Linked DNA regions of Saccharomyces cerevisiae S288C. The gene in region 4 interacts genetically with the main gene of each other region. Each region holds a gene or a part of one and is shown on either strand. Other genes may lie near its edges. The genes, in order: SDS22, MCM22, YPI1 and IPL1.

Region 1 (8,649 bases), on a different chromosome or scaffold from region 4:
TCGGGAACGTGAAAGGTGTCAAGTATGGTTACGAATTTTTCTTCTACCGCAGAGGTGTTCACTTGGGAATATATGATATTTGTGTAGTGCAGGTCGCCCTTCAAAATATTGTACAGCTGTGACAAATGCTTAGAGAAGGGTGCGTTTGCCATCAAACAAATTTTGGAGGATAAGTCTGGGAATGCCCTCTGAAAGTTCTCCACCACCAGTGCCAAATCCAAAAATGGAGTTCCGAATGAGTAAACCACGGGCAAGTTTTGGATGGCGTTCAAACATGCGTCACCAAAATGTACCACGACTTCTGCATGTACGTGTTCAGCAGCGACCTCGTCTACACAGCATGCACTGTACGCTGTGTCAGCTAAAACCCAAAACTTTATCTTCCCATGGGGAAATTTCGATTGCAGCAGCCTTACTATCAACGAGGAGTCCTTGATTAAATCGTCAGGAAACTGCAAGGTCACGTTTTGGTACTCCGGGTGCTGTTCCAGATAACCCACGAGAGGCTCGACATTGTAATAAGCCGAGATAAGTTGCATAAGCTCATCGCTATTATAACATGGCCCCAAGTATGAAGACCTGTCAATTTCATGTGTCTCCACCTTCTGAAACGCCACGTCCGACTGAGTAGTCGATAAGGCCGGTGCAACTTCCATTTTTCAACCTTTGCACGATCTTTCAACGCTGCCACTTAGAAATCCATCACTAATCATCTTAACTCTTTTACCTTTGAACTAGTCTTTTTTCTTCTTGTTGCGATGAGCTTCTCACTGAAAAAAAAAAAAGTAAAGAAAAAAGAAGCACCAAGTACATATAAAAGGACAGATTTAACCAAATGGCATACTTAAAAAGACATTCTGAAGTCTACCATAGCATTAAAACTATCAGACTGATCCTGTAGATGTCTTATATGTATTATTCTTTTCACACATACACTCCGAAGAGACTCCATGGAGTTTTATCAGAGTCACGTGACATATATCACTGTTGACGGAATACAGATTATTTGTCAATTGCTTCTTTCTTCGCCCCTTCGAACGGGTTCTGAGTAAAAGAGAAAGGTGGTGATGACGAAGCAAAAGGAAGAATAGTCACACTTGCAGTGTAATTAGTACAAACAACACAACTAACTCAATACAGCACCTTCCTTGCCATGTTTAGATCCGTTTGCCGCATTTCTTCCCGCGTGGCACCTTCTGCGTACCGCACTATAATGGGCCGTTCCGTTATGTCCAACACCATACTCGCACAAAGATTTTATTCTGCAAACTTGAGCAAAGATCAGGTTTCTCAAAGGGTCATTGATGTTATCAAGGCGTTTGATAAGAACTCTCCCAACATTGCCAACAAGCAAATCTCCAGCGATACCCAATTTCACAAGGATTTGGGGTTGGACTCCTTGGACACTGTCGAGCTGCTCGTAGCTATTGAAGAAGAATTTGATATTGAAATCCCTGACAAAGTGGCTGATGAGTTGAGAAGTGTTGGTGAAACGGTCGATTATATCGCTTCCAATCCCGACGCAAACTAAGTGTCCGTCCCCGCTCTATTATATTGTATCGTGTCACCCCCATGTCATATTATATTCGTATGTATATAAATAGATCGATTGACCCGTATATATATATATCTATATAACCAGCCCTGTTAATACTATACTTTACTCTCTCCTCCCTTTTTCTCGTTGTTTGTTATTTTGGCCCCGAATTATTATATATTAAGGTACTGTTGAAAAATAAAACATGTATAACCTTTTGAATGAAAATAGCAAGAAGTCGGAAGAAATCTAGCACCACATAGCCATCATTATGGATAAGAATTCAGTTAACAAAGATAGTGAAGAAAAAGACGAAAGACACAAGATTGAGGTTGTAGACGATACAAATCCTGACTTCATCACTGCAGATTCGGAACTGACACAAGATCTGCCTGATGATGTAGAGGTTATTGACTTGGTCCATCTAAAAATCAAATCGTTAGAAGATTTGAACCTTTATAGGTTCAAGAATTTGAAACAATTATGTCTCAGACAGAACCTGATCGAAAGCATAAGCGAAGTGGAAGTTTTACCCCATGACAAGATTGTTGACCTTGATTTTTACGATAACAAAATTAAACATATCTCCTCTAATGTTAATAAGCTCACCAAATTAACGTCTCTAGACCTGTCGTTTAACAAGATCAAGCACATCAAAAATCTAGAAAATTTGACTGATCTGGAGAATTTATACTTCGTGCAGAACAGCATTTCCAAAATTGAAAATCTGTCCACTTTGAAATCACTGAAAAACTTAGAATTAGGTGGTAATAAGGTTCATTCTATTGAACCCGATTCCTTCGAAGGTCTGTCAAACTTGGAAGAAATTTGGTTGGGTAAAAATTCCATACCAAGACTTATTAACTTACATCCTTTAAAGAATTTGAAGATATTGTCCATCCAATCTAATAAATTAAAAAAAATTGAAAATCTAGAAGAGTTGACCAATCTTGAAGAGCTCTATCTGTCACATAATTTCATCACCAAGATTGAAGGTCTAGAGAAAAACCTAAAACTAACTACTTTGGACGTGACCTCCAACAAAATTACCTCCCTGGAAAACTTGAACCACCTGTCAAATTTAACTGACATATGGGCCTCCTTTAACAAGATAGATCAATCCTTTGAGAGCTTGGGTGAAAACCTGTCCGCCCTATCACGCTTGGAGACCATTTATCTGGAGGGAAACCCTATTCAACTGGAAAATAAGACTTCGTATAGAAGAAAACTGACTATGAACTTACCTCCATCCCTACAGAAGATTGATGCGACATATATAAGAGGCTGATCTTGATCAAGAAATGATTTTTTTTTTATATACACACACAAACATATATATATATATATATATATAATGTAGGATTTTGATCCTTTTAAAAAAAACTGAATAATCCATCTAGTTAAAGTTCGCCCTTAAAAACCTCGAGCATGAAAAAAAGAAGAGCTGCTGAACTACATAAAGAAAAACATATGCAATAGCTAAGGGCACGTCCTTCTGTCTCGCAATATGAAAATACAACTTGTAAGATGGCATTGTTCTCGCAATGCTCTTTGGAATCGTGCTTTCTACTCTACGAGAAAGGCCACTAAGAACGCTTCGTCGGCGACTCCAGCTACTATGACATCCATGGTATCTCAGAGGCAAGATCTTTTCATGACAGATCCACTATCTCCTGGATCCATGTTCTTTCTTCCAAATGGTGCTAAGATTTTCAACAAATTGATAGAGTTTATGAAGTTACAACAAAAGTTCAAATTTGGTTTTAATGAAGTTGTGACGCCTTTGATTTACAAAAAGACTCTTTGGGAAAAGTCTGGTCACTGGGAAAATTATGCTGATGACATGTTTAAGGTGGAAACTACGGATGAAGAAAAGGAGGAATACGGTTTAAAACCGATGAATTGCCCAGGCCATTGTCTGATCTTCGGTAAAAAGGATAGATCGTATAACGAACTTCCCCTACGCTTCTCTGATTTTTCACCACTACATAGAAATGAAGCTTCTGGTGCACTGTCGGGATTGACTAGACTAAGGAAGTTCCATCAAGACGATGGTCATATCTTTTGCACTCCTTCCCAAGTGAAATCAGAAATTTTCAACTCTTTAAAATTAATCGACATAGTTTACAACAAAATTTTCCCCTTTGTTAAAGGAGGTTCTGGAGCAGAGAGCAATTATTTTATAAACTTTTCTACAAGACCGGATCACTTCATTGGAGACCTCAAAGTTTGGAATCATGCTGAGCAAGTACTCAAGGAAATCTTGGAAGAATCAGGCAAACCGTGGAAACTGAACCCTGGTGATGGTGCGTTCTATGGTCCAAAGTTGGATATAATGGTTACGGACCATTTACGCAAAACTCATCAAGTCGCTACTATTCAGTTGGACTTTCAGCTACCTGAGAGGTTCGATTTGAAATTCAAGGATCAAGACAACTCGTACAAGAGGCCAATTATGATTCATAGAGCTACTTTTGGTTCTATCGAAAGATTTATGGCTTTACTGATAGATTCTAATGAGGGCCGTTGGCCGTTTTGGTTGAATCCTTACCAAGCTGTAATTATTCCCGTCAATACGAAAAATGTGCAACAGCTAGACATGTGCACTGCCTTGCAGAAAAAACTACGTAATGAACTGGAAGCCGACGACATGGAACCAGTTCCTTTAAATGATTGGCATTTCAATGTTGATCTCGACATAAGAAACGAACCCGTAGGGTATAGGATCAAGTCGGCCATTTTGAAAAACTATTCCTATTTAATTATCGTGGGTGATGAGGAAGTACAGTTACAGAAATACAACATTCGAGAACGTGATAATAGAAAGAGTTTCGAGAAACTTACAATGTCTCAAATTTGGGAAAAATTTATTGAGCTGGAAAAAAACTACAAGTAACTTAAAATATATGACAAACTTGCCCTGTAAATAAAAGGATACGATTTGATGTATAGCTGGATTCATACAGAGACTAGACTCATCCGCCCCACAGATGCATTAATTCATGTATATTTCACATATTATACCATATGTAGTCATTAAACTAAGATAATATTACTGTATTTACATGTATCATCCTTTATACTTTTATACTTTTTACGTTCGGGAGATTTTCAGGAGATTTTAAGGTTTGGATTCCTCATTCAATGGTTCTTTTTTCACATCTGATTGCTCTGCTTTTTTCGCAGCATTTTCCTTTGCGCTTGAAACATTTGGCGCTGATTCTATTGTGTTGACCTTTACTTTGTCTTGAGGTTCCTCATCATCAGATGTTTCCTTTAGTTGTTCTGCATAATGCTCGGGGTATTTTCTGAAACAGTCTTGCATATGTTGAAACTTTTCAACACAGTCGATACCTTTTGGTTCAGCTTCAGAATAGACGAAGCAAGAAAATGCAGATTTGAACTCTTCACCACAGGGTCCATGGGCCATACCTCCCAAGCAAGGACAGTCCCAATTTATCTCACCAGTGTCTGGGTTATAAGCACCTTCGTGTTGAACCTCTTCTTCAGTAGGACCCATTTGCTTTTCCTCTTGTTTTCTTAGTTCTTCTTTCTCTTCATCGCTAGATTCAGATTGCTTAGCTGAATTTTCCGAGTCACTTACAGTTTTTTTTGAGGATTCTTCTTCTCCATTATTATCTTCAGTAGTTGTCTTGTCATCAGATTGTCCCTGTTGCGATTTTTCATCATCTGAATGTTCTGGATCTTTTTTTTCAGAAGATCCAGCATTGTTGTCTAGTGTTTTGTCACTAGTATTTTCTTCCGAGTTCTCAGAACTTATGTTTTCATCCTTTTGATTGTTAGCGGTGGCATTGTCTTCATTGGATTGCTCATCATCTTTGGTTGATACCTTTGATTCATCAGTATCTTTATCTTCGGAAGACTTGTTGTCTTCTTCTGCTAGAACAACCAATTCACCATCTTCAGCTACTTTTGAAGCACCAATTTTATCACCCCCTAATTGAGGGCCAGCTTCAGTTTCATCGTTTTTGCTGTCGTTGTCATCTCCATTTTCATCGCTTTTGCTGTTGTTGTCATCTTCATTTTCTGGTGATTGCTCACCACCACTGGAAAGCTCTTCCTCTGCGGTTTTATCGGATTCTACCTTCCTTGAGGCGAAAAGAGGCTTCCTATTAGGAGCAATAAAATATAAAGCACCAGCCATAGAAAGAATCCCCATTATAAAGCCCGCTGTTTTTTCCTGATTGGAGTTCCTACCGAACTGAGGGGAGGACGCCATGAGACGTCTTGTTTGGTGTCGGCATAACCCCCTTGCCACTTGAATTGACGGCCTGTTTCTGCACGCATTCCTGACGACTAAGTTGCGAAGCATTTTACTGATAATATACACTCTTTGGATCGAGCCTACTTCCAGTTGGTAATTGGTGTTCCACAATTTCAGCATTATATGTTTTTAAACCAAAATTCGGCTCCTTTTCCCTTTTTTTCTTATTGGGTGGCGTGCCGTACAGAACGATTGGCTTGGTGTGAAATCAAGAGCAAGCACAATAGATATCAACATGAACAATATACAAAAGTCTCTGGCACAGTTTGACTGCGTTAGACCAGGCTAGGGCATTTCTGAAGCTTTACGTATCACTAGAGAAGTTATTTTGGCAATGAGAATCTACTACATCGGTGTATTTCGCTCTGGAGGAGAAAAGGCTCTAGAGTTGAGTGAAGTTAAAGACTTGTCACAATTTGGTTTCTTTGAAAGGTCTAGTGTTGGCCAGTTTATGACTTTTTTTGCTGAAACGGTCGCTTCTAGAACTGGTGCAGGACAAAGACAAAGTATAGAAGAAGGCAACTATATTGGCCACGTTTATGCCAGGAGTGAGGGCATATGTGGTGTTTTGATCACCGACAAAGAATATCCTGTCAGACCAGCATACACACTATTAAACAAAATATTGGATGAATATTTAGTCGCACATCCTAAGGAAGAGTGGGCAGATGTGACTGAGACCAATGATGCATTGAAAATGAAGCAACTGGACACTTACATTAGCAAATATCAAGATCCTTCACAGGCTGACGCTATCATGAAAGTTCAACAAGAACTGGATGAGACGAAAATCGTTTTGCACAAAACGATTGAGAATGTTTTACAAAGAGGTGAAAAGTTGGATAATTTGGTGGACAAATCGGAGTCATTAACGGCAAGTTCCAAAATGTTTTATAAGCAAGCTAAAAAATCCAATTCGTGTTGCATCATCATGTAGATGCATCCACACACTATTTTCAGCATAGTGTGGCTTTTCATCTGCTTTATGTAATTTAGAAAGCCAATGACAGCAGCAAGGGAAACAAAAATCTTTTAAATCAAATTAATTGTTTAAATAATATACTATGTAAGCATCGATTCTCCTAACTATTATAACCAAAGGTTGATTTGAAGCCATTGGCATTGTATTAGAATTGATTTGTTTCTTCAGTGTAAAAAAGTTAAAAATAAGCGACCCCAGTGAGGGTTGAACTCACGATCTTGCGATTAACAGTCGCACGCCTTAACCAACTTGGCCATGGAGTCTAATTGCTATATTTTTCTTTTGAAAACAAGATATATAAATAATGCTTGAGCTGGAGCATTTACGTTGTAAATGTATAATTAGTGTAAGAAACCGCTGGGCCCTATTTGTTGATGAAGTATTTACTTAAATGTAACAGAATATACTGGAAGTCCCCCCTCGGGCACATGGAAATTCACTAAAAGGAATTGGTAATGCATATGATATTACTACCGTTTCTCATTTCACTTTATATGCTTTCAGTGATTGTGTTACTACGTGACAGTTCTTACAATTCAGCGCCGTTACTCTCTATGAGTGCTCTCATTATTTATATCATATTCTTACACTTCATACAATTATATATACTCGTACCATGGATATTAGAGGATAGTTGGTTTTTGTTTAAACTAATTCTATGTAACCTCGATGGCATGAGTCCATAATACTGTACTGGCGTATGCCCTTGTTTGTGGTCTTTGTGCAACCATTTCAGGCTTTCTTATTTGCACAGGGCAGTTGCGACCCTGATAAAAAAAAATGGCTGATCAATCGGCGTGGACAAAAAAAAACATCGATTTCTATATTCATGGTAATCTGTCGAATTCTCCAACCAAGTTAGCTGGACTTTATTGTCTTATATCCGATTACTATCGCGATTTATTCTTGTGCGTAGCCGCAATTATAAAGGTCCGGAATATCTCTCCGACTATTGTCATCGTCGAATTTCTTCTGGAAGGGACGGCAGTAACAAGAAACACCTGAGGAACTGCTCTTTCAAATGACGACGACCAAGAGGTTGAAGTTTGAGAATCTGAGAATCCAATTCTCCAATGCCATAGTAGGAAACTTTTTAAGGTTACCGCATTCAATTATAAACGTGTTAGAGTCAACCAACTACGCTATCCAGGAATTCGGTATAGCAGTCCATTCTCATAATTCAGATATACCTATTGTTCATCTTGGATGGGATGGCCATGATTCTGGATCGAGTGAGAATGTTGTTCTTATCAATCCTGTTTTGGCCACAGTATATGATTTAAATCAAAAGTCTCCATTGGTGGACTTATACATCCAGCGATATGACCACACACACCTGGCTACGGAGGTGTATGTCACGCCAGAAACGAGTGATGATTGGGAAATTATCGATGCCAATGCGATGAGGTTCCAAAATGGTGAGATTTTGCACCAAACCCGTATAGTTACCCCAGGTGAGACTTTGATTTGTTATTTGGAAGGAATTGTTACAAAGTTCAAAATTGACAGGGTGGAGCCATCAATGAAGTCTGCGAGGATCACAGATGGTTCCTTGGTTGTTGTGGCACCAAAAGTCAATAAAACACGTTTGGTGAAGGCTGAGTATGGTCATAGTAATAAGACAATACTAAAAAATGGGGCTATCCAACTTTTAAAGAAGGTAATATTGAGGAGTACTGTGTGCAAAATGGACTTCCCTAAAGATAACCTTTTTGTCGTATATATCAGTGACGGGGCACAATTGCCTTCTCAGAAGGGCTACGCTTCTATCGTAAAATGTAGCTTAAGGCAGTCCAAGAAAAGCGATTCAGATAATAAATCAGTTGGTATCCCTTCGAAGAAGAT
Region 2 (8,342 bases), on a different chromosome or scaffold from region 4:
TCTATTATGCTTCTGACGGTGGTAATGCTGCAAACTTGGCAAAGAGACTAGCAGCAAGGGCATCTGCAAGAGGTTTAAAGGCTACTGTTCTGTCCATGGATGACATTATTTTGGAAGAATTACCTGGTGAAGAGAATGTAGTTTTCATTACTTCCACGGCTGGGCAAGGTGAATTCCCCCAAGACGGTAAGTCTTTCTGGGAAGCTCTGAAAAATGACACCGACTTGGATTTAGCTAGTTTGAATGTTGCTGTTTTTGGTCTCGGTGATTCTGAGTATTGGCCACGTAAAGAAGATAAACATTATTTTAACAAGCCTTCACAGGATTTATTTAAGCGCTTGGAATTATTGAGTGCCAAAGCCCTAATTCCCTTGGGACTGGGTGATGATCAAGATGCTGATGGTTTCCAAACTGCTTATTCTGAGTGGGAACCTAAATTATGGGAAGCTCTTGGTGTTTCCGGCGCTGCTGTTGATGATGAGCCAAAACCTGTTACAAACGAGGATATTAAGAGAGAATCTAATTTCTTGAGAGGTACTATCAGTGAGAACTTAAAGGATACTTCTTCAGGTGGTGTTACTCACGCTAATGAACAATTAATGAAATTTCACGGTATTTACACCCAAGACGATCGTGACATTAGAGAAATACGTAAGTCACAAGGCTTAGAGCCATACTATATGTTTATGGCAAGAGCTCGTTTACCAGGTGGTAAGACCACTCCACAACAATGGCTTGCTCTGGATCACTTATCTGATACTTCAGGCAATGGTACCCTGAAATTAACAACAAGGGCAACCTTCCAGATTCATGGTGTGCTAAAGAAGAACTTGAAACACACATTGAGAGGAATGAATGCAGTTCTTATGGATACATTAGCTGCTGCAGGTGACGTGAACAGAAATGTCATGGTTTCTGCTCTACCAACCAATGCCAAGGTTCACCAACAAATCGCTGATATGGGAAAATTGATTTCTGATCATTTCTTACCAAAGACTACGGCCTACCACGAAGTTTGGCTGGAGGGCCCAGAAGAACAGGACGATGATCCATCCTGGCCATCTATTTTTGAAAACAGAAAAGATGGTCCAAGAAAAAAGAAGACTCTAGTTAGCGGTAACGCTTTGGTCGATATTGAACCAATTTACGGTCCAACTTATCTGCCAAGAAAGTTTAAATTCAACATCGCCGTTCCTCCATATAACGATGTGGATGTATTATCTATCGATGTCGGTTTAGTTGCTATAGTTAACCCAGAAACTCAAATCGTGGAGGGTTATAATGTTTTTGTTGGTGGTGGTATGGGTACCACTCATAACAACAAGAAAACTTACCCAAGATTAGGGTCATGCTTAGGTTTTGTTAAAACTGAAGACATTATTCCACCACTTGAAGGTATCGTTATTGTCCAAAGAGATCACGGTGACCGTAAAGACCGTAAGCATGCTCGTTTAAAGTATACTGTAGATGATATGGGTGTCGAAGGCTTCAAGCAAAAAGTGGAGGAATACTGGGGTAAGAAATTCGAGCCTGAGAGACCATTTGAGTTTAAATCTAATATTGATTACTTTGGATGGATTAAAGATGAAACTGGGTTAAACCACTTTACCGCATTTATTGAAAATGGTAGGGTTGAAGATACACCAGATTTGCCTCAAAAGACAGGTATTAGAAAGGTTGCTGAATACATGCTTAAGACTAATTCTGGTCATTTCAGATTGACTGGTAATCAACATTTGGTTATCTCTAATATTACAGATGAACATGTTGCTGGAATAAAATCTATTTTAAAGACCTATAAATTGGATAACACCGATTTCAGCGGTTTGAGATTATCTTCATCTTCCTGTGTTGGTTTGCCAACATGTGGTTTAGCGTTTGCCGAATCTGAACGTTTCCTACCTGACATTATTACTCAGTTGGAAGATTGTTTAGAAGAGTATGGTTTACGCCATGATTCCATTATTATGAGAATGACTGGTTGCCCTAACGGTTGTTCTCGTCCATGGCTAGGTGAATTAGCTCTTGTTGGTAAAGCTCCACATACTTATAACTTGATGCTTGGTGGTGGTTACCTCGGCCAAAGGCTAAACAAATTGTATAAGGCCAATGTGAAGGATGAGGAAATTGTCGACTACATCAAACCATTGTTTAAAAGGTATGCTTTAGAAAGAGAAGAAGGGGAACACTTTGGTGATTTCTGTATAAGAGTAGGTATCATTAAACCAACCACCGAGGGTAAATACTTCCATGAAGATGTGTCTGAAGATGCCTATTAATGATAGCATATGACATAGTAGGACATACTATTGGGTTTTCTTCCCACATTTATTTATTTTTTTCGCAATTGAATATAACTTTTTATTTTATAGAAACATATTTATTTGTATAATCTTGTATATTAACAGTTAAGACTCATTATTGTTATCCTTCGGCTAGTTCGGTTTTTCAATAGCAGATGAGAAACGAAAACTATGAAGAATGAAAACGAGGTGAAGAATAAAATCATATAACAAAATATTGAAAAGAATGACGGCCGTAACTGATATCATCGATGAATTGAATGATTCGAGTCTTTCTTCTACAAGGCTTCGAGAGTTGTGTCTCCAGTTACGAAAGAAGACAGATACTGGATGTGCAATTACGGTGTCCGATGAGGTCAACCTTATTGAATCTCTCTCATATCACTCCATATCTCCAGGAGTAGACATACAAATCAACACAGATGTTTTGCAGACTATAGATTACTACTTTCAGCGTAACAAAAGTGAACATGACGAAATTATGTGCGTCCTTATTTCTAAGTTACAGCCACTACTTTTAAAACGCAAAAGCAACTTCGAACTCAAAGAGCAACGTAATCTTGGTCTCAAACCCACGCTTGGAATGTCTTTGAAAGAAGATAACCTAATGCAGGCGTGGGTAAGTCAGGGTGGCTTGAAAGGCATTCCGTTATTCTACGTAATTCTGTTACATTTGAAAAGGAGAGACATATCTACGAATCTTTCTTGGATTATTCCAGGAATTCTAAACATACTAGATGATACCACTGATATAAGAAGAATTAAACTTCGTGGTGTTCTGCTCCTACAGACGCTATTAAATCATACCTTTATGAACGAAACCAATGACTCAAAATGGATACAGTTCTCTAGTACTGGTTTATTTCCACTGTTCGAAAAGACGCTAATCAATATGTGCTATTTTCTCCCTCCCTCATACAATGCTGATGAAACAATAGCCATATGGCGGGTCGTTTTCCCAACGATACAGTCGTTATATAAAGTAGAATTTTTGGACAATTACACAAAGTATCAATATCACCTGGAAAAGTTCATGTCAGAGATAATCTTGCAAAACATAATTCCTAGGGCTAGCCTTGCATACGAAAATTTGACGTTATACGCATTGGAATGCACAATGAACATACTGAGACTTCAAAGAGAAGGGTCTGTTGTACATCTCCAGAGGCTGATTTTTGTTTTAGGTGAATATATTGTACGAAATCCTTTTTACACAACTTTTCCAAAACTTATTTCAAAAACTCTTTCAGTGGTAAGTACTCTCATAAAGGTTTGCCCGAATGAAAGAATAGTGGCTCACAGATTCGACATTTTATCATTAATTCTAGTTACATACGATAAGTGTTCGCAAGAGGATGCGTTGAACGAATCAATACTACAACAATGTAAGGAAACGATAAGCTGGTTGCTGAATTGTGACTGCGCTATGGGTGAACAGTTATCGACTCTATCTAAGCAACCGCGGTTTCAGTTACTTTTTGAGTTCTCATAGGAAACAGACACAGACACAGACAAATGCATATACATATATATATATATATAACTAGACAGTATATAAACAAAAAGAGTTATTTGCCCTTTATGCTGAAGAATCCCTTTTAAAGAAACCTTGGACATATATTAAAATATTCATTTGCTTATTTACAGATATATTAAGGTAAAGAGAATAATGACTCGGAGAGATAAATCGGTTTCATATTAACGGGTGTTTTGCAACCCGTTCACAATCCTGATATTAGTATCCAAAAACCGATTCACACAGTTAGACAAACATTGCTCTTCTTGCGAACTTAAATTAGAATCATTGACAGACTCAACACATTTTTTGAAGCATATATTAGTGAATTGATGGATTGACATCTGGACTTTTTGTTTGGAGTTCTCTCCCTCCAAGAAAGTAGCAATTTCCTTTTTGGAAGTGTCATCAAGGGAGGCCAAATCAGACGTTGATAGAGAAGACATTCTTTGTTGTTTGTAAATTTGTTTTCCTTTTTACCTCTTCTTCAATACTTTCATATAAATGAATGTTTCCATCAATTTTTACGTTAGTTAATAACTAACCGTTCGCTTTGATATGCAGCGTAACAACAAACAAGACGCATATGACGACAAAGAGGGACAAGAGCAAACGGCAGAAAGTCTCACAAAGGAAACATGGATGTTGAAAAGGATGTCCTGGATGTCTACATAAAGAACCTGGAGAACCAGATCGGAAACAAACGATATTTCTTGAAGCAAGCTCAAGGTGCCATCGATGAGATCACGAAGAGATCTCTGGATACAGAGGGTAAACCGGTCAATTCTGAGGTCTTTACAGAGTTATTAAGAAAACCCATGTTCTTCTCAGAGAGAGCTGATCCTATTGGTTTCAGTTTGACATCGAATTTTTTGTCTTTGAGAGCCCAAAGTTCCAGTGAATGGCTCTCGCTTATGAATGATCAATCAGTTGATCAAAAGGCCATGTTATTGTTACAGAATAATATTAATAGTGACTTGAAAGAGCTGCTACGAAAACTGCAGCATCAAATGACCATTATGGACAGTAAGAAGCAAGATCACGCCCATATTAGAACACGAAAAGCCAGAAATAAAGAGCTTTGGGACTCACTGGCGGACTTTCTCAAGGGTTATCTAGTACCGAATTTGGATGATAATGATGAATCAATAGATAGCTTAACGAACGAAGTCATGCTGTTAATGAAAAGACTAATTGAGCATGATTTGAATCTGACATTAAACGATTTTTCATCTAAAACGATACCAATATACAGATTATTACTTAGGGCTAATATAATAACAGTAATTGAGGGCTCTACAAATCCAGGGACTAAATACATCAAACTAATAGATTTCAATGAGACCAGTCTAACTTAAGTAATACTTCGTAGTCAAAGTGTGCTTCGTAGTGGTGTGAGGATGTTATAAAGCGCCAAAATTTAGAAGATCATAATTTGGCAGTAACCGTAGATTATTCACCAAAAAGCTCTTGACTTCCTCTTTTAATAGACTGTCGTTAAAAGGTCCTTAGTCCAGAATAGTATATAAAAAGTGTTGTATGGTAGTGGTATACCAATTTTGCTATGAGTAAAAAATTATCGTTGGAAGAGAGACTCTCCTTGGCAACTAAGAAAGGAAGAAAGAAAAATAAAAGGTCAACGTCAAATTTGTCGTCTCCATCGCCTGTGGTGCTGTCAAACAATGAACAAGAAAGTGCTCGTACATCCATTGATGATGCGGCTGCCGGTGTGGTGTCAATTGACAATGCTGAAAACATAGATGATCCTGCGGTACGATCAGAAAGCACTGTGGAAGGCGATACAGGTAAGGCAGATTCAATCGCTGTCGATGACGTGGTGCATCCCGATCACAATAGGACTGATTGCTTCGACGACACTATGGTATCACTGCCTACATGGCTACCTAAAAATTACACTGAATTTACTGTTGAAGAATTAGTCAAAGAAATTAGTCCTGAATATTTAAGATTAAACAAACAGATTGATGACCTAACTAACGAACTAAACAGAAAATCACAAATCGAAACCACGGATTCTAGTTTTTTCAAATTGATTAAAGAGAAGGACGACTTGATAGATCAGTTGAGAAAAGAAGGAGCTAAATTAGCGGAAACTGAGCTGAGGCAATCAAATCAAATCAAAGCTTTAAGAACAAAAGTGAAAGACTTAGAGTATGAGGTATCTGAACTAAACGATAGTTCTGCTCAGAGTGTCGAAAACTATAATGAGCTGCAATCATTGTATCACAACATACAAGGACAACTGGCTGAAGCTACAAATAAATTAAAGGATGCAGATAAACAAAAAGAGTCACTTGAAACATTAGAGAAAAATATAAAAGAAAAAGATGATTTGATAACAATTTTACAGCAATCTTTAGATAATATGAGAACATTGCTTGAAAAAGAAAAAAGTGAATTTCAAACGGAAAAGAAAGCACTACAAGAAGCAACAGTTGATCAAGTTACCACTCTAGAGACTAAACTAGAACAACTAAGAATAGAATTAGATAGCTCTACTCAAAATTTAGACGCTAAATCAAATAGAGATTTTGTCGATGACCAACAAAGTTATGAAGAAAAACAACACGCATCTTTCCAATACAATCGGCTCAAAGAACAGCTTGAGTCATCAAAGGCCAACTGGGATAGTATTGAATACGCTTTGAACACTAAAATTGTGAACTTGGAAAACCGCTTTGAATCTACAATGAAAGAAAAAAATGATATTGAAGAAAAATATCAAACTGCCTTACGTTCATCTGAAACATTAGGTAAGCAATTAGAAAAAGAAAAAGAGAATCATTCGAAGGCAGTTTTGGAAGTGAAAGACTTGGAGAGACGGGCGGAGACATTGAAGTCATCATTGCAAAGTATAAGTGATGATTATAATCTACTGAAGAAGAAGTACGAAATTCAAAGGTCTCAGTTGGAACAAAAAGAGAACGAACTAAAACCACATCAAGAAAACAGCAATGAGAAAATTATAGATAAAATACCTGTAGAATTAACAGATAGTTTAAACTCCATGGAGGGAAATATAGAAGACGAATGGACTTTACCTCAAGAAAATTCTATGCTGTCATTATCAATGTCAAAACTTGGCGAATTAGAAAGCGATCCGTCTCTAAAACCCATTTACAATGAATCTCACGAAACCATATGTAGCGAAGAAAGCCAACATTTTGATAGAAAAAATGTGGATTTCAGCATTGACGATATTCCAGAAGAGGCCGCTGCTTTACAAGCAATCAGGGAAGGGGAATCAATGAACTCGTTAAACAACACATCAATACCATACAGAAGAGCTAGCGTCCAGCTATCGAATTCTAACGGCCACATAAGCGCTCATCTGGTGAACAAGTTAAGTACGGAGTTAAAAAGATTGGAAGGTGAATTATCAGCATCAAAGGAATTATACGATAATTTACTGAAAGAAAAGACAAAAGCAAATGATGAGATTTTAAGACTTCTGGAAGAAAACGATAAATTCAATGAGGTAAATAAACAGAAAGATGATCTCTTAAAAAGAGTTGAGCAGATGCAAAGTAAATTGGAAACCTCCTTACAACTATTAGGTGAAAAGACTGAACAAGTGGAGGAATTAGAAAATGATGTGTCCGATTTAAAAGAGATGATGCATCAACAAGTTCAACAAATGGTAGAAATGCAAGGAAAAATGAGATAACTAGAAATACACTCTTATCTTTAGATTTAGGTTAAATATGAAATAATTACCAATGATAACTATATGTATCTATATACATGCAACCCCATCGCAACATACTGTTTGTCATCAGTCATGACCTTGAGCCTTAGCGAGCATGGTATGTTCTTCGATATCTTCAGCGTCCCATGGATAGCACAACCACTTATCAGGGACAGTTTGCGCAGCAATGTAACGTCCAGAATTCATCATGGAGTCAGGTAGTCCAGCTCTCTTTGGTTTGTCCTTATTATGTAGAACAAAGATAGAAATAACGGTTTCCTCACTCATTCTATTCAAAACCTTTTGTTGTTCAGCAATCTCTTTTTCCAGCTCAGAAACAGCATAGTGGAGGGTAGTTCTAGTATCGTCAACTTCATCCACAATTAGGACCTTTTTACCAATTAAGGAATCGAAATGTTGGTTCAAAGCACCGAAGTCCAGCCATTGTGTTCTGATGACCTCTTTGCCGATAGTTTCGACGCTATTATCCAACCCTAAATCTTCATACAAAGATAGGCCGATGGCCTGAATCGGAATATTCTTTTGTCCTTTAGTTTTCAAAAAGGACCTAATAATTCTTGCGGGGATCATACCACCACCAGTGATGGCGATAATAATATCAGGTCTTTCGTTTCTAGCTAAGATATGTTTAGCCACTCCCTGACAAAGCTTGTGAATATTATTATAGGAGATGTACATTCTCTCATTTTCGGCCATCTTGGTACAAGTATATTTTGAAGTGATCAATGTTTATGAAATCTAGTACAAGGATGGGCTATGCAAAAGAAAGACTGACAAAACTCAGATATTTTTC
Region 3 (8,061 bases), on a different chromosome or scaffold from region 4:
TATGCTGCTCTTAAATATCTCCTCTATCAGGGAGCTATATTTCAATAAACAATGGCAAGAAACACTATCCCAAATGGAGTTATTGGATTTACTTCCTTTCTCAGACGAGCTATCTGCTAGAAAGAAAGCACAAGATTTCTCTAATTTAGATGACAACATTGTGAAAAATATTCCAAATTTGTTGATTATCACTCTAAGCTGTATATCGAACATGATTCATATCTTGAACGAAAGTAAGTATCAATCGTCCACAAAAGGTCAACAAATTGATTCCTTAAAAAATGTTGCGAGACAATGTATGATTTATGCTGGTATGATTCAATACAGAATGCCAAGGGAAACGTACAGCACTTTAATTAATATAGACGTCTCTCTATGATTTTTTTAAATATTGTATATTTTTGTTTATATCTATATATCAGTATGCGCGCATACTTAGTAAAAGTATAAAAAGCCATTTGCTGCTTCATCGAATATTTTGGCTTTCGTTGTACAAAGCCTCAGTCCTTCTTTTCCTGCTGTTTTCGCCTGTATTCAGAATAATCTGGTTGGATTTCATAAGCATTGGGGCTATATGACCTTTTTTTCTCAAGTTTACGATGGCGCCTTTCCAATCTTCTTTGTCTACGTTCGTTAAAGTCAAGATCCTTCTCATTCTCAGATTCTGAAGAAGAGGATCCGGAAGAAGAGGATCCATCATCATCTGAATGATGGTTGCACTCTTCTTCATCCTCATTTTGTGGATGAAAAATGCAGCATATCTTGGTCTTTTTTTTATTCATGTTTTCATTGTCAATCACATTTTCTTCCCATCTTACATTGTGCCTTGTAGGCATTGCCTCCTGGCTTCTTGGAGGATCTTGAGTTGCTCGAAGCTGCAAAACTGCGGGAACCTCTTCCACACTCACCGTTCGGGACCCTACGGTCTGTTGTTGTTCTGATCCCATAGCCATTTGATTTCCACTCATCCTTATAGACTTAATTGAAGACTTAGCTCGCAACTCCTGGCAGTTATAAGCTCTTGGGACCCTTGACTCGAATTGTTTCTAAATGATAAATACGGCCCCTTGTTTATACTGAAACGCACGTCGCTGATGATTTCGGACCTCCAAGGTGGCAAATTCACAAGAAAAGCCTTTAAGCTAAGAAACGGTTTATGACCAGTATTAATATTGAGAAAGAAAAATAGCAGGTGATAACACAATTAAGAGGACTTAACAAGAAAGACGAGACATAATGGAACGACTACAGAGATTGATGATGAATAGTAAGGTGGGGTCCGCGGACACCGGCCGTGACGATACGAAAGAAACTGTTTATATTTCTTCGATTGCGCTTTTAAAGATGCTAAAGCATGGTAGAGCTGGTGTTCCCATGGAAGTCATGGGGTTGATGTTAGGTGAGTTTGTCGATGATTATACGGTTAACGTTGTGGACGTGTTTGCGATGCCTCAATCGGGTACCGGAGTTTCTGTTGAGGCTGTCGATGATGTTTTCCAAGCGAAGATGATGGACATGTTAAAACAAACGGGCAGAGACCAAATGGTCGTTGGCTGGTACCACTCTCATCCAGGGTTTGGCTGTTGGCTATCTTCTGTTGATGTTAATACTCAAAAATCTTTTGAACAACTAAACAGCAGAGCTGTTGCTGTCGTTGTTGACCCTATTCAATCCGTTAAGGGAAAAGTTGTCATCGATGCTTTTAGATTGATTGACACGGGCGCATTGATAAATAACTTAGAGCCTAGACAAACAACCTCCAACACAGGCTTATTGAACAAGGCCAACATTCAAGCCTTAATTCACGGTCTGAATAGGCATTACTATTCTTTAAATATTGATTATCATAAAACCGCGAAGGAAACCAAGATGTTAATGAACTTACATAAAGAACAGTGGCAATCAGGTCTTAAGATGTACGATTATGAAGAAAAAGAAGAATCAAATTTGGCTGCTACAAAGAGTATGGTTAAGATAGCCGAACAGTACTCTAAGAGAATAGAAGAGGAAAAGGAATTAACCGAAGAAGAACTTAAGACAAGATACGTTGGTAGGCAAGATCCAAAGAAGCACCTTTCCGAAACAGCAGATGAGACACTAGAGAACAATATTGTTTCTGTGCTGACGGCGGGTGTTAATTCAGTGGCAATTAAATAAACAAATTTTATAAAGTCATTATGCATTAAATAACTAGAAAGCCCACTACATATATATTATATTGTATTTTTCTAAAAATTCTAATGAAGTAGTTAATGGAATGAATGGGAAAGAGAAAACGCGTTAGGAGGGAAAAGGCTCCTTAAATAACAGTAAAAATGAAATGGCTACTGGTAGTCCCAGTGCCAATTTTTTTTTTTACTTTCTTTTCTTTCACTCTTGCTTTTCCCATACTTGTATAAACGTTTCCTTCAAAAATAAAAGCTCGGCTTCTCTCTCTGTCGTATTTATGCCATCTATTTCTATCCATTTTTCACTTTTGTTATCATACAGCTGAGTAATCCAATGGCTTTTTTCATCACCATTAAATGCGTTTCCATCTGTGGATGGTTGTTTAATGACCACATGGACCACATTTGCTTTTAAGCGATACTTGACGTGCAAAATTTCAAGTTCACTGGAAAATTCCACCAACGTTTGGTTTCTATTTTTGACAGGATGATCACTGTTACGGTCAAACCTATTGAAATGAAATATTAAAAACTGCGGTAATCGCGTTAGTTCAAAAACGGTGCTAGTAGAGGAGCTTCTTGACTTAGTAAATTTAGTCAATAATTTAGTGATATTTATTTGTGGGAGATCATCAACGCTGTTGCCATCTTCAAAGGGTGAAAACTCCGGCAAATCGAGAGTCAGAACCCAAAATGGTTTGACAATGACTTTTCCTGTAACAGACTCACTGGCCTCAGGCTTATTTTCAACTTTTGCTATCTTTACTTTGCCTTTACAAGAATGGTTTAAAATTGACTTTAAGTCGTTCGAGGACGAGCAAATTTTATTGAATAGCCACAAAAGGAAGAGACGCGGGTCTATAGGATTTAAATTTAAACCTTCTCTAACTTTCAAATAGGATACAAAATCGTCAACTGAAAGATGATGTTTGAATAGTTTAGGGGACCAAATTTTCTTTACACATATGGATAACCTTTTGATAAATTCCCCTTGATTATCAAAATGATTCAGTAGGAAGTGGTCCCGCACTGGAACCATGTGCGATATCAAAAGCAATACACTATGCGCATAGTCATAAGTTGCCGCATTGGTGAACCCTATAAATCCATTCAGATATGTGCGATTGCTCAAATCAAAACACTGTCTCGGAAAATCTTCTAGATCTTTTGGACAATAAGTCGGATAAGCTGCAAATTTTATGCTGTTCAACAATTGAACCTCACCGTCATGTAAAATTTGGACATTTTGCGGCAACATGTAAAACTTCAAACTTGTCAAATTCAAGAAGACGTGATGGTTTTCATCAATTGAATGTATGAAAGCAGGACTCTTTTCATGTCTCCCCTGATAATAATGTCCACACACGAGGCAACAATATACATTCAAAGGGGACAGAGTAATGCAGCAAATTTTCTCAGAATCGAAATCTAGTTTTTCTCTTACTACAGTCTCAAGATAGGCATAGTTTGGTTCCTGAGACTTTATCTTTTTTACTGCCTCCTGTTTTAACTCATCTTCTGAATGTCTCCTTTTGTTATCAACCTCCATTATAAACAGCGCTTTAGGTTAACGCCCACTAAATGATGAACCATGAAGAGCATGGTTAGATTGCTGCCAATTTTTTTTCCTATTTCGTCATTTTTTTATCAAGATTTTCCAGTTTTTTTTTTTTTTTTGGCATTGCTTACTATACGCGAGGGAGGTTCAATTGACACTTTCCGCTACGGCGATTCTTCAGAAACTGTGTCATCTTTTTTCCAGGTCGAGCTGTAGGAAAACCTGGGAAATATAGGTATATACCTGATCTGTTGTTGGAGTGATGTGCCTTGAACCAATCTCTCTTGTTGTTTTCGGATCCCTGGTGTTTTTCTTTGGCTTGGTGAAGTATTTCAAACGTGGAGAACGGCAAAGAACAAGAGGAATTTTACAGCCAGAGTACAAAGATAAGTATTATTACAGTAAAGAAAAAGGGGAAGAAATGGGCGAGGTAGCAAACGTAAATGAAATTCCGGTCAAGATAAGAAATCATAAGTATCCTGCGAAAGAACATAACTTGAGGGTTAAAGATTTGTTGTTAAATCGCAATCCGAAGCTATCAAAGATATCCACAGCATTTTTTATTGCTGGTGAAGAATTAGAGGGAAACAAGTATTGTGACACCAACAAAGATTTTAGACAGAATAGATATTTTTATCATTTGTCAGGTGTTGATATACCTGCTTCGGCGATATTGTTTAACTGTAGCACAGATAAGCTGACATTGTTTTTGCCAAACATCGATGAAGAAGATGTCATATGGAGCGGTATGCCTTTGAGTTTGGATGAGGCAATGAGAGTGTTTGACATTGATGAGGCCTTGTACATATCTGATCTGGGGAAAAAATTTAAAGAATTGCAAGACTTCGCTATCTTTACAACCGATTTGGACAATGTTCATGACGAGAATATTGCAAGATCACTAATTCCTTCAGACCCTAACTTCTTTTATGCTATGGATGAAACTAGAGCAATTAAGGATTGGTATGAAATTGAAAGCATCAGAAAAGCTTGTCAGATTTCAGACAAGAGCCATTTGGCCGTTATGTCCGCGTTGCCCATCGAACTGAACGAGTTACAAATACAAGCTGAATTTGAATACCATGCAACCCGTCAAGGTGGTCGTTCTTTGGGCTATGACCCCATTTGTTGTTCTGGACCGGCATGTGGCACTTTACATTACGTCAAGAATTCAGAAGATATCAAAGGTAAACATTCCATCTTAATTGATGCAGGTGCAGAATGGAGACAATATACAAGTGATATCACCAGATGTTTCCCAACTTCAGGCAAGTTTACTGCGGAACATCGTGAAGTTTACGAAACCGTTCTTGACATGCAAAACCAAGCAATGGAAAGGATTAAACCTGGTGCTAAATGGGACGATTTACATGCACTGACACACAAGGTTCTTATTAAACATTTCTTAAGTATGGGTATTTTCAAGAAAGAGTTTTCTGAGGACGAAATCTTTAAAAGAAGAGCTTCTTGCGCTTTTTATCCCCATGGACTAGGGCATATGTTGGGGCTTGATGTACACGACGTTGGTGGTAATCCAAACTATGACGACCCAGATCCAATGTTTAGATATTTAAGAATCCGCCGTCCTTTGAAAGAAAATATGGTTATCACTAATGAACCAGGTTGCTACTTTAATCAATTTTTGATCAAAGAATTTTTGGAAAAGCACCCCGAAAGATTGGAAGTTGTCGATATGAGCGTATTGAAAAGATACATGTATGTCGGTGGTGTTAGAATTGAAGATGATATCCTTGTTACCAAAGATGGTTACGAGAACTTAACTGGTATTACTTCTGACCCTGATGAAATTGAAAAAATCGTTCAAAAAGGTTTGAAGAAACCCCGTTCAGGTTTCCACGTAATCGTTTAGGTATTAACTTTTTTTTACTCGCTTCTAGAAGTTTAGTATATTCTTTTGTACACAGAATTGTATATTTTTTTTATAATCTTGGATTCACCATTTAACTAGATTTGGAAATATAAGGAATGGCACTGAAAAAATTAAGGACCAACCCCGAAGAGCAAAAAATGAATGCGAATTCTGTGGATCGAACACAGGACCTCCAGATAACTTGACCGAAGTTTTTTCTTCAGTCTGGCGCTCTCCCAACTGAGCTAAATCCGCTTCTATTTATGAAAAATTCATTGTTACAGGAACTATAGGACTATAATAACTAGCTGCTAACACCTTTAAATGTGACTTTTCTCATAAGGAAATCTAGCGATTCAGAATTCGAGAATTTTGCAGATTGCAAAGTTTTCTTTTTACCATAATATTTGAGAATGTTGTAAAACTTGAGATAATTATTCGGATGTCATTGTTGATTGAAGATAGCATTCCTATGAGTCGCCCTCGAGGACTTGGATCGAAAAATCTACATAATATTAGTAATTACTATTATTGTTGGAATTGGATAAACCGTCGTCCACCTATTTGAGAAATAGGTAATTATTATATGAGTTATTTGGTTCCTTTTTGTTAAAGTAATAATTTGAAATGCCATCCATTTGGTAATATTCATGTTATTGGCATATTATCATATGCGGTTCAGGAAGATGACATAAAAGTTGAGAAACAGTTATCAACCCTAATGGAAGCTGAAATGCAAGATTGATAATGTAATAGCATAATGAAACATATAAAACGGAATGGGGAATAATCGTAATATTATTATGTAGAACTACCGATTCCATTTTGAGGATTCCTACATCCTCGAGGAGACTTCTAGCATATTCTGTGTACATAATATTATGGTCTTGATCAACAATGCAATCCCAACAGTTATCAAATTATTCAGAAAATTGATCACATTTTCGATAAATCTATTATGAAAGTAAAATTTTGACTCATACCTAAGTTCTCGTTATTCGTTAATCTTATGAACTCATTAACCTTGGCGTTTCAGCATCCGCTATGATTACTAGTGCTTAAACCTTGTTATTCATGCCTCATAATTGATGCCATCTTCTAACCTCGAGCGTGATAAAATTTTTGTAATATGAACACCAATCGGCGGAAGATCATCCCAAAGCCACATATGATGGTGCCTTATAACATTAATAACAACTTCAACTGCTGCATACCGATAATATCTTGACGATTATGCATTCGTGTCCTGATAGCTAATGCCATGAAACAATTCTTTTCAATCGCACTTGCACCTTCGTGAAATAGAAGGGTTATCTGGGCTTATCAGACTTGTCCACAGTTTACATATAATTTTTTTTCTGTATTAAATTTTGTGAGCTTTCTTTTTACTCAAACGAACTGTGTTATTTTTCGTTCATTAAATGCGTACCTTTAAGCATCATCAAGTATTGCTCTTCGGGAAAAATGAAGTAACCTTGTTAGGTTAATTTCACTAGTACTATACATATTTTATCCTGTATCATACCAGAGGATCATTCTAGCCACAATGGTCGATACGCATAAACTAGCAGACGACGTTCTTCAGCTATTGGATAACCGTATCGAAGATAATTATAGGGTTTGTGTTATCCTAGTCGGTTCTCCAGGCTCCGGTAAGTCTACTATTGCGGAAGAACTTTGTCAAATTATAAATGAAAAATATCACACATTTTTGTCAGAGCATCCAAATGTTATTGAGGTTAATGATAGGTTGAAACCTATGGTTAACCTAGTAGACTCTTTAAAGACGCTCCAGCCCAATAAAGTAGCTGAAATGATTGAAAATCAGGGGCTGTTTAAAGATCATGTTGAGGATGTTAATTTTCAACCAGTCAAGTACTCAGCCCTTACATCAAATAATGAAGAATGTACCGCAGTAGTTGCCAGAGGTGGTACTGCGAATGCCATAAGAATCGCAGCAGTTGATAATCCAGTCAATGTTAACAAGTTGGCCCAGGATAGTATCAATATAGCGCAAATAGTCCCAATGGATGGTTTTCACTTATCTCGCAGATGTCTAGACCTATTCAAAGACCCACAAACTGCCCATAAAAGAAGAGGTTCGCCCTCAACGTTTGACAGTAACAATTTCTTACAATTGTGTAAAATTCTAGCCAAGACGTCCCTATGTAAGGTCTCCTCACATCATAAATTTTACTCCACTTCAAGCGTTTTTGAGAAGTTATCCAAAACTTTTAGCCAAACAATTCCTGATATCTTTGTTCCAGGATTTAACCATGCACTAAAAGACCCAACTCCAGATCAGTACTGTATTTCCAAATTTACAAGGATAGTTATACTTGAAGGGTTATACCTACTGTATGACCAAGAAAACTGGAAGAAAATTTACAAAACATTAGCTGATACGGGAGCACTTCTTGTTTATAAGATTGACATAGACTATGAGGCCACCGAAGAAAGGGTGG
Region 4 (3,790 bases):
CGTACTTGTCATCTATATGTTTGAATTTTTTTAAATAATGTAAAGCCTTTTGATACTTGTCCTGTTGGATAACAGCTACTAAGCAACGTCTAAATACATCCGCTGGATTCTCACATCCAGAATCCAATAGTTTCACGCAAGTCTGTTCGACCTGCGAATGCTCGTCTTGAGACAATTGAATGTTCAATTGAGAGAGCAAATTAGTTAAATTATCTTTAGCCATTTTTTTGCTTTCTTTCATTACTCTTATTATTGATCAGAACCAACTCAACAAAGTAAATCTGCTACTTTAATGCATAGCAATTTTCAGCTTGTTTTCCTCTTTTCTTTCGACAAAGGCGAAAGAAAAGAGGAAAAAATGAACAAGAAAATTTAATCAAATATCGCAATATACGATGCCGAAAAGAGTAATGAAATATTAGAAATGGATACTTAGTATTATGTGATATGTGCGGGAGTGATTAATAGTGCCCTTCAAACGATTCTGTCATACTTTAATTCTATAACCGCTTATTTTCCCAAAAGGGCTTGTTTCTTAGTATCCAAGGATGCATTTTTACGTCTCCAAGGCGCATTCTATCTTTGGGGTCGTATTTTAGTAGTTTAAGTATTAAATCTTGCGCATCCTGAGAAATGTTACTGGGCATTTTGATATCCAGTGCTGCTATCCTTTTATATGTAGTATCTTTCATTTCTTCTTCGAACGGAGGGGCACCGGTCAGTAGTTCAAACGCCAGGACGCCAAGAGCCCATGCATCTATAGTGTGATCATATTCCCTTGACTCCACCATTTCTGGAGAAAGGTAGTCAATTGTCCCACAGACAGTTTTCCTTCTATTTTCTGGCGGATTTATTATACTCCATCCGAAGTCCGTTAACTTAATGACATTATTGAACCCTATTAGTATATTTTCAGGTTTAATATCTCTATGAATAATATTCTTTTTATGCATATAATCTAGGGCATTGGCAATTTGATAAATATAATCTGATGCTAAAATATCGTTGAAGGGTCCGTGTAACCTCAATAGTTTATACATTTCCCCATTGACTAAGTATTCCATTAGCAGGTACACTCTTTTTTCATCATGAAAATAGCCGTATGATTTAGTTAGATTCGGATGATTTAGCGATGTTTGTATTTCTACCTCCCTTCTGAATTGTTTCTGTAAATTATACTTTATTATTTCTTCCTTCTCCATTACTTTCAGTGCGCAAATATATCCTGTACTCCTGTGCCGAACGCAATAAACTTTACCGAATTTACCCTTTCCTAATTTCTTCCCCAGTTCAAAGTCATCGAGTGATAGGGATTTAAATTTAGGTAGCTTCTTATTTTCGTGTATCATTTTGGAAGAAGTCGCTTTCCTTATAGGTGATGGAATTTTGGAGCTTTCCATATCCAAAAACTTCTTATTGTTTACAGGTAATCTGTTCAATTTTTCTCTTACAGGTGAAGGTATTTTTGAATTCGGGTTTCTTTGCTGCGGCGAATGGGATATTCTCCATGGTTTATTGATCCTGGACGTATTTGGTCTTGTTGTGGTCTTTTTCGATGGCGAATTAGCGTTTAGTTTGATATTTACTAAACTATTGCGTTGCATTCCCTTTTTACTTCTTTCTTTTGTTGTATTTCAAAATCCCAGTTTTTTTTGCGCTAAGAATGATCTTGCTTTGTTTATGCATTCACTTGAGCAATTGCATCAGTTGGCCTTAGCTCAAGGTTTTTATAGAATGGTAAACAAATTAAGCGCTTTACAGGAAAAACGCGTGAAGTTAAACTTACTGTTCAATAAGCAATGCTGTATCGGAAAATGGAGCACAAAGGTTATAGATACAAGAGAAGACTATCATGTCATCAGATGCGTTAAAAGCACTACTTCAGTGGGGTGCGTCATTTGGTGTAATAGTGCCAGAGGAACTCAAGTTTTTATATACCGATCTTAAGGGCATTATTTGCGTATGTGAAAAAGATATAGACAATCCCAGCATCAAGATTCCTCCCGAGATTGTCATTTCAAGGAATCTGCCCATGAAGTTTTTTGGGCTAAGTGAATCCACTAAGAATATCAACGGATGGCTGAAGTTGTTCTTCGCAAAAATAAAATTTGATAGGGATAATGATACTATCGTGGACAATGTTCGTGTGAATGATAAATTTAAACCTTACTTGGATGCATTGCCTTCCCGCCTAAATTCGCCCTTGGTCTGGAACCCAAGCGAGTTGAAGCGTTTATCATCTACAAACATAGGGAATTCGATTCATGAAAAGTTCGAAGGTATATTTAAAGAGTGGTTTGAACTGGTCAGTTCTTCAGATATGTTTGACTTGGAAAGAGTGGCAGATGATGTGCAGACCTTCCATAATCTCGATGAGTTGACATATGAGGCTTTGTATGAGAAGATTTTGAAGATAACAGAACTTCAAAGACCAACTATCTGGTATTCTTTTCCTGCATTTTTATGGTCGCACCTTATATTCATTTCAAGAGCATTCCCTGAATATGTGCTAAACAGAAACTGTCCTGACAACTCTATTGTACTGCTTCCCATCGTCGATCTTCTAAATCATGACTACCGTTCCAAAGTCAAATGGTATCCTGAAAATGGGTGGTTCTGTTATGAAAAAATCGGTACCGCCTCCCAATCACGAGAACTATCAAATAATTATGGCGGTAAGGGAAATGAGGAGTTACTCTCTGGATATGGATTTGTTTTAGAAGACAACATATTTGACTCAGTGGCTTTGAAAGTTAAATTGCCATTAGATGTGGTATCTACAATTCTTGAAACAGAACCTAGTTTGAAGCTGCCCTTACTTTCGGATTACACCACTTATGCTTTTGAAAACAAAGACTGTGTCCAGCAAGAAAAGAAGGCTACTCGTAGTGCTACAGACTACATCAATGGGGTGACTTACTTCATTAACATACAAAATGAACAATGTTTAGAACCATTACTGGATCTTTTTACCTACCTTTCTAAGGCCGAAGAGGAGGATCTACACGATTTGAGAGCCCGTTTGCAGGGTATACAAATGCTACGAAATGCATTGCAGAGCAAACTCAACAGCATTACTGGACCACCTGCAACTGATGACTCTTATGCAATTGATCCTTACAGAGTCTATTGTGCTGACGTTTATACTAAAGGTCAAAAACAAATTTTAAAAGAGGCTTTAACGAGGTTGAAAAAACTAGAAAAAACAATGCTGTCAGAGAACAAGCACCAATTGCTAACCATGAGCAAAATTCTTAAGAATGACCCTGCTTTTGCAGAAACTGAATTACCTTCGCTGTTCAGCAACGAAGATGGTGAAGAGGTCATCTTTGAATCTACTTATGATTTATTGATACTTTGGATTCTACTGAAAACGAAAAAGAATTCTTACCCCACCAAATATGAATGGGTTGGACAGCAGTATACTAATTTCAAGCAAACTGCATATATTTCAGATGATGCCAAGGCTTTCCATACTGCATACTTCGAGAAGCAAGACGATGTGGATTTGGCCGAAGTAGATCATGCGATTCAGTTTGTAGTAGACAATTCCTTTACCAGAACTTCATCTACAACCGAAGAGACTATTTTAGTACGTAAGTAGCTTTTCCTTATAGAATGTTAGAGTAGAGTACGTAATTACATCTGCACTTATTTAATAAATGCACTTACTAACAAACTGGGTTCTCATTGGTCAGAAGTGTCCCGGGTATCCGAATATGGCTTCGATGAAATTTTTCGCCATGGAGCTGCGATGCCCGATATTTGTGTATAAAACATGGAAATGAGC

The links.
Region 1: of IPL1 (region 4) and SDS22, a mutation in one rescues a mutant of the other (synthetic rescue), as found in Saccharomyces cerevisiae (7 studies listed by BioGRID, with this or other methods).
Region 2: mutations in IPL1 (region 4) and MCM22 impair growth when combined (synthetic growth defect), as found in Saccharomyces cerevisiae (2 studies listed by BioGRID, with this or other methods).
Region 3: of IPL1 (region 4) and YPI1, a mutation in one rescues a mutant of the other (synthetic rescue), as found in Saccharomyces cerevisiae (4 studies listed by BioGRID, with this or other methods).

The regions. Positions count from the first base shown.
Region 1 is NC_001143.9:73,042-81,690, reverse strand, and holds SDS22 (type 1 protein phosphatase-activating protein SDS22), read left to right. Parts: upstream 1-1,808; coding exon 1,809-2,825; downstream 2,826-8,649. Other genes in the region: DPH2 (2-(3-amino-3-carboxypropyl)histidine synthase), read right to left, coding at 1-656; ACP1 (acyl carrier protein), read left to right, coding at 1,154-1,531; threonine--tRNA ligase MST1, read left to right, coding at 3,045-4,433; MIA40 (Mia40p), read right to left, coding at 4,659-5,870; palmitoyltransferase YKT6, read left to right, coding at 6,157-6,759; PEX1 (AAA family ATPase peroxin 1), read left to right, coding at 7,826-8,649. UniProt on the Saccharomyces cerevisiae protein: Regulator of the mitotic function of yeast type 1 protein phosphatase.
Region 2 is NC_001142.9:672,894-681,235, reverse strand, and holds MCM22 (Mcm22p), read left to right. Parts: upstream 1-4,457; coding exon 4,458-5,177; downstream 5,178-8,342. Other genes in the region: MET5 (sulfite reductase (NADPH) subunit beta), read left to right, coding at 1-2,279; TTI2 (Tti2p), read left to right, coding at 2,530-3,795; protein transporter TIM8, read right to left, coding at 4,002-4,265; SGM1 (Sgm1p), read left to right, coding at 5,384-7,507; XPT1 (xanthine phosphoribosyltransferase), read right to left, coding at 7,616-8,245. UniProt on the Saccharomyces cerevisiae protein: Component of the kinetochore, a multiprotein complex that assembles on centromeric DNA and attaches chromosomes to spindle microtubules, mediating chromosome segregation and sister chromatid segregation during meiosis and mitosis.
Region 3 is NC_001138.5:152,157-160,217, forward strand, and holds YPI1 (type 1 protein phosphatase-activating protein YPI1), read right to left. Parts: upstream 969-8,061; coding exon 501-968; downstream 1-500. Other genes in the region: linker nucleoporin NIC96, read left to right, coding at 1-379; proteasome regulatory particle lid subunit RPN11, read left to right, coding at 1,237-2,157; mRNA splicing protein SAD1, read right to left, coding at 2,371-3,717; YFR006W (putative Xaa-Pro dipeptidase), read left to right, coding at 3,989-5,596; YFH7 (Yfh7p), read left to right, coding at 7,143-8,061.
Region 4 is NC_001148.4:155,990-159,779, forward strand, and holds IPL1 (aurora kinase), read right to left. Parts: upstream 1,605-3,790; coding exon 501-1,604; downstream 1-500. Other genes in the region: signal recognition particle subunit SRP72, read right to left, coding at 1-223; RKM1 (protein-lysine N-methyltransferase), read left to right, coding at 1,853-3,604. UniProt on the Saccharomyces cerevisiae protein: Component of the chromosomal passenger complex (CPC), a complex that acts as a key regulator of chromosome segregation and cytokinesis.